Oryctolagus cuniculus: one gene and its partners. The main gene of each other region encodes a partner of the protein of the gene in region 2 in a complex. Links are inferred from orthologs where the notes say so. Each region holds a gene or a part of one and is shown on either strand. Other genes may lie near its edges. The genes, in order: TMEM107, CEP290 and TMEM231.

What was found.
Region 1: CEP290 (region 2) and TMEM107 share a complex: the UniProt entries of both Homo sapiens proteins name them as parts of the tectonic-like complex. The link is inferred for Oryctolagus cuniculus from reciprocal best matches to the Homo sapiens genes CEP290 and TMEM107.
Region 3: CEP290 (region 2) and TMEM231 share a complex: the UniProt entries of both Homo sapiens proteins name them as parts of the tectonic-like complex. The link is inferred for Oryctolagus cuniculus from reciprocal best matches to the Homo sapiens genes CEP290 and TMEM231.

What each region holds. Positions count from the first base shown.
Region 1 is NC_091448.1:52,667,082-52,671,461, reverse strand, and holds the start of TMEM107 (transmembrane protein 107), read left to right. Parts: upstream 1-1,432; 5' UTR 1,433-1,657; intron 1,658-1,878; 5' UTR 1,879-3,252; coding exon 3,253-3,339; intron 3,340-3,454; coding exon 3,455-3,517; coding exon of another isoform or gene 3,518-3,522; intron 3,523-3,613; coding exon 3,614-3,714; intron 3,715-4,283; coding exon 4,284-4,380. UniProt on the Homo sapiens protein: Plays a role in cilia formation and embryonic patterning. Requires for normal Sonic hedgehog (Shh) signaling in the neural tube and acts in combination with GLI2 and GLI3 to pattern ventral and intermediate neuronal cell types.
Region 2 is NC_091442.1:90,800,471-90,804,119, reverse strand, and holds part of CEP290 (centrosomal protein of 290 kDa), read left to right. Parts: intron 1-1,274; coding exon 1,275-1,418; intron 1,419-3,649. UniProt on the Homo sapiens protein: Involved in early and late steps in cilia formation. Its association with CCP110 is required for inhibition of primary cilia formation by CCP110.
Region 3 is NC_091449.1:57,924,429-57,927,652, forward strand, and holds part of TMEM231 (transmembrane protein 231), read right to left. Parts: intron 2,700-3,224; coding exon 2,571-2,699; intron 2,287-2,570; coding exon 2,143-2,286; intron 761-2,142; coding exon 679-760; intron 1-678. UniProt on the Homo sapiens protein: Transmembrane component of the tectonic-like complex, a complex localized at the transition zone of primary cilia and acting as a barrier that prevents diffusion of transmembrane proteins between the cilia and plasma membranes.

The DNA of each region.
Region 1 (4,380 bases), on a different chromosome or scaffold from region 2:
AACCATATGGGCGCCAGTTCAAGTCCTGACTCCACTTCTAATCCAGCTCCTTGCTAATGCACCTGGGAAAGCAGCGGAAGATGGCCCAAGTGCTTGGACCCATCACCCACAAGGGACACCTGGATGGAGTTCCCGGCTCCTGGTTTCGGCCTGGCCCAGCCCTGGCTGTTGTGGCCATCTGGGGGAGTTAACGAGTGGATGCAAGATCTTTCTCTGCCTCTTCCTCTCTGTAACTCCACTTTTCAAATAAAATAAATGCATCTTTTAAAAAAAGGTAGAATGAGAAGCTCGTGTGCGGCGGCGGTGTCGGCAGCGGCTGCAAAGAGAAGAGTTTGGCGCGATGTCTCATACCATTTTGCTGGTACAGCCTACCAAGAGGCCAGAAGGCAGAACTTATGCTGACTATGAATCTGTGAATGAATGCATGGAAGGTATTTGTAAAATGTATGAGGAACATCTGAAAAGAATGAATCCCAACAGTCCGTCTATCACATACGATATCAGTCAGTTGTTTGATTTTATTGATGATCTGGCAGACCTCAGCTGCCTTGTTTACCGGGCTGATACCCAGACATACCAGCCTTATAACAAAGACTGGATCAAAGAGAAGATCTATGTGCTCCTCCGCCGGCAGGCCCAACAGGCGGGAAAATAATGGAGTGGAAGCAGTAGGGGGATGGGGGTGGGCTTGGAACACAGGTGTGTACAGCGTGCTGTAGTGGGAGTTTTGTATTATAGTGATCCTGTTTCCACTTGGTACACTCTAGCCAGATTGAATGTATCAGATGAAGTGTGAGAATGTTGTTCAATCTGAAACCCCCATTGCCCCTTTTTTCTTTTCTTTTTCTTCCCTTTTTTTTTTTTTTTACTTAAACATTTTTATGAGGATTTAGATGGAATTTTTTTGTCAGTTAATGTTGGTTCCAGAGCTTCAGACTGTTGAGATCTGCTTTATAACAGTCACTGTACTAACCCTTAGAGATGGGGTGGGGGGTGGCTCAGTTTAGTTACATCCTCAAGGCAAACTCTTAGTGGAAAATAAATGTTCTTTAGTTATAAAAAAAAAAAAAGGTAGATTGAAATACACAAAAGATGTTAAAATCTATGTGGTCACCATGCTACTAAAAAGATCTAGTTGTGTTTGTAGGACACTACTGAACCGGGATTCTGAAAACTGGCAAATAATGGAAAAAAAAAAAAAGGACCCATTTATCCTGCCTTTCCTGTATGACTCGTATCTCATGGAAAATTCTTACTGATAAAAGAATTCTAGCTGGTAGATGCAGAAGAGGGCTCGAATTAGGCCATCCCCATTTTGCAATCGCTATTGAAATCATGCAGTTAGGCAATGAGGACCCGTGGTACCATTAGGTGAGAATGGATGAAGAATTTTATCACGGGTGGCTCAGCCTGACCGCACCCGAAGCCACCACTCAGACTTCAGCACCACAGACAGACAGACACACAGACAAGCAGGATTCCTGATGAGGTGAACAGAAAGTACAAACCATCCCTCGGGATGTGATCTTACCAGAAAACTGAATGACACATAGATCAACCATTAGACCTGACCATCAGTTTGCAGGAAACACAGTGCCAGGAGAGAATGAAATGACGCCACACGTGGCCCAGTATCTTCAGCAAGAAAAGAAGGAAGGTGAGGTGATGGGGAGGAGGGCAAACCCAAGATTAACAGAGATTTCAGACATGTCAGCCAAGTGGACTTTATTTGTACCCCAATGCACACGTGTGGGGTTGTGGTGGAGGGGAGGGGGCAACAAAGCTGACCACGTGCTGACAACTGTTGAGGCAGAGCAGTGGCCCTCCCAGGGGTTTGTTATACTGTTTCATTTTTACGTTGTGTTTGAAATTTCCTAGGATGCCAAAAAATGAAAAGTTTGCAAGTTCTTTTGTCACCAATTCAAATGCTGAGATACCGAATCCAGCCCTGGAGTGAGTGGCCACCTACGGGAGGACAGCTGGTCACCCGCAGCACAGCCCATGGCCACCAGCAGGCTCTAAAACCCAGGCAAGAAACGACTTTCTCTGAGGCAAGTTTCTATAAACCAAGGTTGTGGACAAGGACAAAGCAGACATAGGCTGCCCACTCCCTGTTCATGAGTCCACACCTAAGGACCTGAGAACTCGGTTTGTACTGTCTAGCCCGTCTCCTAGGCAGAACGCCTACTGAGCAGAATGCTCCAAACCTCCAGCTGTTGAACGCAAAATCCTTGGGTCACCTTGACTCTCCCTTTTCCTCACCCACCCACAGGCCCCGAGCCAGACCCTCTCCCCAATCCTTCTGCTTTGCTCCATCGTCTTTGCTTCACCCTGTCCTTTCTGGATACTTCTATGGCTTCCTCGTTAGTCTCTCCATATTGCAACCTGGGTCGTGGAGAATACGAATCTGACCACGTCGCGCCTGGTGGCTGCAAGGCCTGCCGCGACCACGCTCCACCTCCTTTTGGGCTGCCTACCACTAGGCTTTGCAGTGCAGGCTGACTTGAAGGCTGGGGTTACTCTCCTCAGAAGCGGGGAGGGAAGCCCCTTGGGTGTGCGCAAGCAGCAGGGGTCTTCCTGGAGCCCGTGCGGCCGGTACCTCGGAGACCCCGGAACCAGAGCTGAGCCTTGCGTCCCAGGCAGCTCCAAACCTCCTGTGCGGGACGCTTCGTCCACGCTCGCCCTGTCCAGTCCCGGCGGGGCCGTCCCTAGGCTGAGGCTGCCACCATCTTCTGCACTATGCAAATCCCTCACCGAACCCGGCAAAGATGTCTGGGGTGCTCCGACCACCAAGGGCTCCGTGACAACGGGCCTGCCGGACAAGGTAGGTCCAGTGAACGTTCCACGTTGGGCTCAGGGCACAAGGAAGCTACGAGGACGGAAAGGGAAGACCGCGTCTGAGCCTCCAACCTAAGACCGGCACGCCGGCCGCAGCAGTCCGCGAGCACCTCCTCCGCGGACAGGCCATTCCCGGCAATGCAGCCTGGGGCCGCGCCGCTCCGGACCTGAGCAGCCAGCGAACCCCCGGACGTAGTCCTCCGGTTAGGAGGCTGGCGGCCGCAGCGGGGTCCCCGAACACGGCGCACTTGCACGACGGCGGCTCGAGAATTTACGGCTCTCGCGAGATCTTCAGAACCCGAGGCGCACGGTCCGCGTACGCAGTTACCAAGGCAACGGGGCGGCCCCTGAGGCGCGCGAAGGCCGCGGGCCGGGAGAGGTTTCCCAGCGCCGCCGCCCGCGGCCCTGAGGAGCATGAGCCGGATCTCGGGGCTCGTGCCCTCCCGCTTCCTGACGCTGCTGGCGCATCTGGTGGTCGTCATCACCTTATTCTGGTCGCGGGTAAGACCCACGGCCGCCACTCCGCGTCGCCATCTCGCCGTGGTCGCCGCGCCCACCCCGCCCGGGGTCTCAGCCGGCCTCTCTCACTTCCTTTCCTTTTCTGCCCGCTCCCCAGGACAGCAACGTCCAGGCCTGCCTGCCCCTCCGATTCACCCCCGAGGAGTATGAGAAGCAGGACGTGCAGTGAGCTCTTGGGGGGGTGGGGGTTCGAAGGAAGAGGCGGTGGGAGTCCCGGAGGCCGGGGGTCCTGAGCCGCTCCCCTTCCTCTCTGCAGGCTGGTGGCCGCCCTCTCGGTCACCCTGGGCCTCTTTGCCGTGGAGCTGGCCGGCTTCCTCTCAGGAGTGTCCATGTTCAACAGCACCCAGAGCCTCATCTGTATCCTTTCTGCCCCCACGACCCGTTTCCAGCGCGACTCCCTTCAGCGACCCCCTTCCCCCCAGGAGCCCCGCCTCTGCTTAGGCAGTGCAGGGATTTGACACAATCCTCAAACAGTTGTGGATGCCGCTGTGCACCGGGCCCTGGAGGTAAATGGGGGTGAGGCGGAGGCAGACACACACACACACACACACACACCCCACTATCCTCTAGGAGGGGGTAAAAGAGCCAAGGATTGAGGGAGGCGCTTGACTCTCCAGTTGCGGGCCTCCTGGTGGAGAGTGATTCCAGCAGAGAGGATCAAGTCGCTGTCCGCATTCCTGTGGGGTCCATGGGGGCCTGCTCTGACCTCCCCTCGGGGGTGCAGGCTGGCCCCTCCATGTGGGGTGAGGGTAGCCTGGGGTCTCGGCAGTGCAGGCTCAGCGCAGGCCGCTACACGTGGGCCTGTTAAAATCAGAAGGCAGGGCTGCTGACTCCCGCCGTCGCACAAGGCCTGGGAGCTCCACCACTGGCCTGCCATAGCCCGTCGCTGTTGTGGCCCCAAGACTTTCCTTGACTCCTGTGTGTCGCCCACAAGCCATCGCAGCGCACTGTAGTGCATCTGTAGCCCTGTCGTTCTTCATATTCGAGCGCTGGGAGTGCACCACGTACTGGTACATTTTTGTG
Region 2 (3,649 bases):
GAGATGAGGTCATATGCTAAAGAAGCCAGATAAAGTTGGAAATACTTCAGTACTGAAGAAAGGATTAGAAAGTAGGGCTCTGGAATCAGACAGATTAAGTTCTAGTCCTATTTCTTTTATCTGTTAACTTTGTAAAAATGGGTGAGTTATTTCTGATTTCCTATTTTATATCTAGCTCCAGGAAAATGTCAAGCATTTTCAATAAGTATTTATTAAATAAATGAATTATGGATTGATTTTAATGTGTTTAGACAGACAACTACTATGAAATAGAAAGTTAGGGCAGTTGAAGATACTGGTAGGAAAGTGGTTGTCAAATCTTAGCTGAAAAGGTAAGGAAGTCAAGATTGAGGGGAAGCCAGAGCTTCTTCCGTGTCTTCCAGCTAGGTTCAGGGGCCCAAACCTTTGGGCCATCTTTTGATGCTTTTTCCCAGGCCATTAGTAGGGAGCTGGATCGGAGGTGGAGCAGCAGGGACGCAAACCTGTGCCCATAAGCGATGTCTGCATAACAGTGGCGGCTTTACCCACTGTGTCACAATGCCAGCCCCAATTTGATGTTTTGAGCCATGGTCTTTATTAATAGAAATATGGAACAAAATGGGTTGACTATCAGATTTTACAGATGATCTAAATTTGGGCTGTTCAATATGGTAGCACTAACTGCTTGTCATTTGCATTTATATTAGCTCAAAAGTAAAATCAAAAATTCAGTTCTTCAGTTGTACTAGCCACATTTCAAGTACTCAGTATCTGTATGTGAATGGTAGCTACTGCTTTAGACAGTGTAGAGAACATTTCCATATTCTAGGATGTCCTGTTGGATAATAGTGGTCTAAATGGTCCATAATGTGAGAGAAAGAGCCGGTTAAGAGCATCAGGGATCAGTGACTAGGGTAGAAGCCCTTGTAGTTTGGAGCCTGGTTTTGAAAGGCTCAGGAGAAATCTTGGTAGTTCATCAAATACATTTTGTGTCTTTGCAGTAGAGTCCATAAAACTAAAACTGTGACTCAGTAGTTATAACAGACCCTGAGTGGTTAATAGTCAATTGTTTGTAGCTCTGGATGGCTTAAGAAAAGCTTAAGCAGTTGTCAGCCTGTGAACTAAAGCTTAAATAAGCCAAATCCTTTAAAAAATCGTCCTTTAGCTAGTAAGCTTTTAAACATCTGGTGCTGAAGGATAATGAAAATTGAAAGACAAGAGAATTGTTTGCTTGTTGTTAATTCATTCGAACTTCCACATATAATGGGATGATTGATACTTTTGCTTTATTTAAGATGGCTCAGCAGTCTGCTGGTGGACGGGACACTCGGTTTTTACGTGATGAAATTCGCCAACTTGAAAAGCAGTTGGAACAAAAAGACAGAGAATTAGAGGATATGGAGAAAGAGTTGGACAAAGAGAAGAAAGTCAATGAACAAGTAAGGCACATTTTTTTTTTTTCAGTGAATCTTAACTGTTCATGTTATCTTTGTAGAATAACTGATTTTGCTTCTTATAATTATTGGTTATATTATCAGTTTCTATAATATATGTTATGTTTATAGAAATTTGTTCACTGTCTAAGGTTGTATATCACTGTTGTCATTACATCTTTAAAATATAGGGGCTCAGTACTTCTAGTGTGGCTTGGAGATTAATTCTTTATATTTGGAAGAATGTTTTTCTCAGGACATTGAAATCACATACATCAAATTGATAGTTTTGAATATTGGTATGATAACATTAGTAAGTATTAAAAAACAGGTGATTTTCTTGCTGCCGTAGTTTATTTTGGTTACAAAGTTACATCTGTTTAATGTGCCTGTGTTAGTAGTTGATTTGGAAATGAATCTTTAATTTATGCTTTCCATATGGTTAATTAATTTCTTTGTTTTATGTAATATATAGGTTCTTGACAATTTGTGTTAACACTAACATTTTATAAATCAATTCATATTATAATCATTTTGCAACATAATTTTTTATCTCATGTTATTTTTTTGTTAAAAATCATGCAATATTTACCTAAATTTAATTTTAGGGAAAATAACATAATCTTTGCAGATAAATTTGTATTTTCTGTGTGAAAATAAGTTGTTTCTTATTTTGCCTCAACTGACCATAAACTTTGAATAGGCACCATGCTGCTGTGGTCCCTCATGGTGGACACTGTCCCAGCCCTCATGCCTAGAAGCTTTTTTGTGGCATATTCTCATAATCTTTATTTGTTATGCTCCGAGAAATGGAGTTAAAAATTTTAAGTAAACCACAATGATTGTCAGATAATATTGCTGTGTAAGACACTATATCATGAATTAGTTTGTAAGGAAAAGTATTCCCATTCTTCTTCTTTTTCTTCTTCTTTTTTTTTTTTTAAATAATGAAAGCCCTTGCGTGACAATCCAAATTTATTGAAATACTGATGTAAAGTTACACAAAATTGCACCACTTTAATTAAGGCTTATAGTTTACATTTGTCTACCTTAAAGTAGTTGTAACGTTAGGTTTGTCAATTTAAATACTGTGGCTTCCTGTTGAATAGACACACAATCTTTACACCCAAATGTTAATGCATACAAAGCAACAGGGCATTGTTAAATACAATATCAATAATTACTGCATATAATAATTAATAATTAATTACGCCTTCTGACCAATTACACATGATTACAATTACTTCCCACTTTCACATCCACAGGACTGGCCCACCATTTAACATCTCAACCAAAATATCGCACATATGAAACAATATAACAGGCAAAAGTGCTAAACCCTGTATATTTGATATCGCAGATACACCTATGCATGAGCAAACAAGGGATTCACAGTGAGAATCTACAGCTTCAGAAGCCTGAAAATGATTGACAAAAACTGTTAAATGATTAAAAAGTTGTTTGCAACTTGTTGTAGACCCCCACTGTATGCACAACATTAAAAATCATTCCCTATGTAAACAAAAAAAGAAACCCCTACCAAGAGAATTGAAAAGTCTGAGCATTTCTTTCTCAATGGATAGTAAAGGTAGTGTCTTCAAGACATTATAGTGAAAGGACTGTCATATTTTAAAGACAAGATCTTTGTCACCACAGGCTTTTTTAAAAGTTTTAAAAAACTATATGACTGTGTTAATTAAAGTGCTTATTTTGTACAATATGATGATAATGATCTTGAATTTCTTCAAAAAATTACAATAAGTTACAAGTATCAAGCAAAGCTATCTAGAGTAGTCTATATAAGAGCTCCTTGGGCTTTGTTTTGTTATGCTAAAATAGTGGTGCTTTTAGGGTTTACATTATTGTACTCCAATACAAAGTATGGGTGTGTTAAAATATACAACACACCATTTTCATACATGTACAATATTGGTGAATGAAGAATGTCTCTTAGCTATAATACTGAATGTAGCCTCTGGTTTACCAGCTGTATACTCTAGGGCTATTTATAAGTAAGAACCTCTCTTGTGATACTGGAAAGTGATTAGAATGTGCAAACTGATACAATAGCTTTCATCTGCCTCTTAAAGTGTATCATCCCAGGAAAGTCCATTTAAGATGTTGGTAGGTTTAACAAAGTTGGAATTCTGGCGCTGTTGAGTTGGGTGACAGTTCTTCAGACCTGACTCAGAGCTACAACACATTTAGTATATTAAAGCAGCTGACATGATGACTTT
Region 3 (3,224 bases), on a different chromosome or scaffold from region 2:
GCTAAATGTGGATCCCTTCCACACTGTAACAGTTAAATACTCAAATATATATTTTGTAAAAACCCATATATGGATCAAAAGTGAATGGGATAATGTAGTGTGTATGGAATAATGTAGTGTGTTTTGGTTCTGTCTTAATGCGTCCTGTGTTGTTGGAATGCTGCTGACTCTGTACGACCTAAACATAGGGAGAAACCCTGGAACCGAACTCCTTTCACGTGCACATGACTGAGCGTGGTACCCACGACGTCTGGTTGCCAAGCAGCAGGTTAGAGTCCTCTGGAGACAACCTCAGGCCCGTGAGCAGCACTCTGGGGCTCTGCGGGCAGTGCCAGGGCCCCACCTGCCAGTCAGGACCGCAGGGGGCTGCTGGCACGCGCTGAGCTGCCAACACGCTCGGTTTCTTCTGAAAACAAGACCGCAATCGCCCCTCATCTCCCACAGGTGTGGTATGAGCAACACCTTAATTAACCTTTTTTTTTTTTTTTAAGGAAATCACCAAGCCAGTGATGGCATAAGCATAGCAATTAATCATTAACGGACCAGAGGGGTGGGGGGCGGGGTCTGAAGACACAAAAGGACCACTGTGGTCGCAGGGTTCCAAGCCTGTTCTCCCGCGACCCCCACCAGGCTGGAAGGCGCTGGAGCGGGGCTGAGGGCGGGCTCCCCCACACTCACCGTTCCTTTCCTGGTAGGCAGCGGCAATGCGGGTGAGGTCGTAGTCTCGGGCGAAAGGGCTGGTGCTGTTGATCACAGACACCTGGGGCACAGTGGGAGGCCGTGGGTGAGTCCTCTCCCTCTCCCCGCTCCCCACCTGCCCACCCAGCCGGGTCCCAGACACCACCGTCTCGCTCTCAATGGCCTATTCCAGTAGCAACAGCTTTTTCTTCAAAGATAAGTCAAGTCTGCTTACTCTCAGTTCTTCCTGTTGTGGGTCAGTATCCATCATTTAGGGGTTTAAAAGCTATGTGTAAAATTCCCCTTTCTGGTGGACTTTCATGCTCACGGCTAACATGCCCCTGTCAGGGAGGCCTGAGTTAGATGCCTGGCTCCAGCTTCTGACTTTAGCTCCCCGACAATGCAGACCCTGGGAGGCAGCAGTGACGCTTCGAGTACTCGGGTCCCTGCCACCCACGTGGGAGACCTGGACTGAGTTCCCAGCTCTCAGCTCTGACCCTGTGGCCATCGTGGGCATTTGGAGAGCTGTCAGCCTCTCAAGTACATTTTTTAAAGAAGAAAAGTAACATGTCGCTGGTTATTACAGACATAAACAAAGGCTGTTCCGGGCAAACTGGGTTTCTGGTCACCCTAGCTATAATCAGTGTGAATAAGGGGGCAAGACTGAAAAGCAGCAACTTAACCCGGACTTTGTATCTGAAGATCTATATACCAAATTATACCAAATAAAATTAGGAGTTGGAAAATCATTTCCTGCTTCAAAGGATTATATGCTTACTATTTGCTCTGTATCCACTTCCATCTCCACATTAAAAAGATAAAAGACAGCATTCAGAGAAGAGCAAAGAAAAAGGTAAAGCAGCTAGAAATGTGGTCCATTTAAAAAAGTTAAAGGAGTTTTTTTCCTCATTGGAATGGTACTGGTATTTCCAACTTTCATTTCTTTTTTTTTTTTTTTTTTTTTTTTTTACAGGCAGAGTGGACAGTGAGATAGAGAGAAAGGTCTTCCTTTTACCATTGGTTCACCCTCCAATGGCCGCCACGGCCAGCGCGCTGCAGCCGGCGCACCGCACTTATCCGAAGGCAGGAGCCAGGTGCTTCTCCTGGTCTCCCATGCGGGTGCAGGGCCCAAGGACTTGGGCCATCCTCCACTGCACTCCCGGGCCACAGCAGAGAGCTGGACTGGAAGAGGGGCAACCGGGACAGAATCCGGCGCCCCGACCGGGACTAGAACCCGGTGTGCCGGCGCCGCAAGGCGGAGGATTAGCCTAGTGAGCCGCGGCGCCGGCCCAACTTTCATTTCTAAGAACTGTATACACAGTAACATACATGAGGTTTGGCAGAAAATGCCTATTCCGGAGAAACTACACAGATTTCAAAGACTTTTTTGCACCACAATAAACTTCTCTTTGCATTCCACCCCCCACGGCCTTCCTGAAGAGCCTGCGCGGGAGCCCGCCTTACGTTGTACCGGACGTCAAGGCCGCCGGCGGGGAGCGGCTGCCTCTGCTGCAGCCTCAGGTCTCCGTTCACGTACAGCTGGGACCCGGGGACGGCGAACGAGGACTGCAGGAACGCCATGCTCTGCATCGCGAACGTCGCCATCCTCTGAAAGCGCGAGAAGCAGCGAGCAGGTCCGAGCGGCTCTGGGTTCCCAGAGTCACCCGTCCACGGCGACTCCCATACCCTCGGCCGGGCAGGAAGCACTCTGCCCCAGCCCCCGACTCCCTCACAGCCCTGTAAACTAGTGACCCCAAGGGAAGAGTTCTTAGCTGCCTCGGTCAAACCACCACCTTCATCCGGGAAAGAGCCTTCTGCTGTGCTAATCCTACAGGGCGCTGGTCCGTTGCAGGACGGGAGGGAGAGGTGGGCCTCCCTAAGCACCGACTCACGTGCAGCTGGTAGGAGAACGTCAGGATGAGCTGCACGCCGAGAACGTGCTCCGTGGGCTGCAGGGGAAGCTCCAGGCTGAAATGCAGCACGTCCATTTTCCCATCTTGGTTGCGGTCTTCTTCTCTAGTCTGGGAAAGCCACAGGGGGCCGCCCACTAAGTCTGGGAAGCAGCCACTTCACTGCTGCACAAACACAATGGCACAGGGTCCCGCTGAACCCAGGCGCCAGCTCCCTCCCCGCGACCAAGAAAGAAAAACAAACAGTCCCGGGGGAAGACACAGTGGACGTGGTCCTGAACTCCACTTGGGCTCTGCAGATGCTCGGGGCTGAACTGGATGGGCGCTTGCAGGGGCCAGAACAGCCGCCGGCAGCCGCACAGCCTGCGTCTCCTCTGATCGGCTCATTTTGTCTCGTTTGGTTTCGTTACTTGAGTTTTCCTTTTTCATAAATATGCCTGAGTTAGTATCGAAAGTTTAAGTAGCACCTCAAAACTGCTACTTCTCCAGAAGCCAATTTTCTAAAGCAGGAAAAAACAAAAACAAACAAACAAAAAAAACCACCAACCACCACCCCAATCCTAACTGGGATGTGTTCTCCAAGCCAATGGCAGATCACCAGGCCTCCCGCCATTCATGTTAGACTTTCTTTTTTTT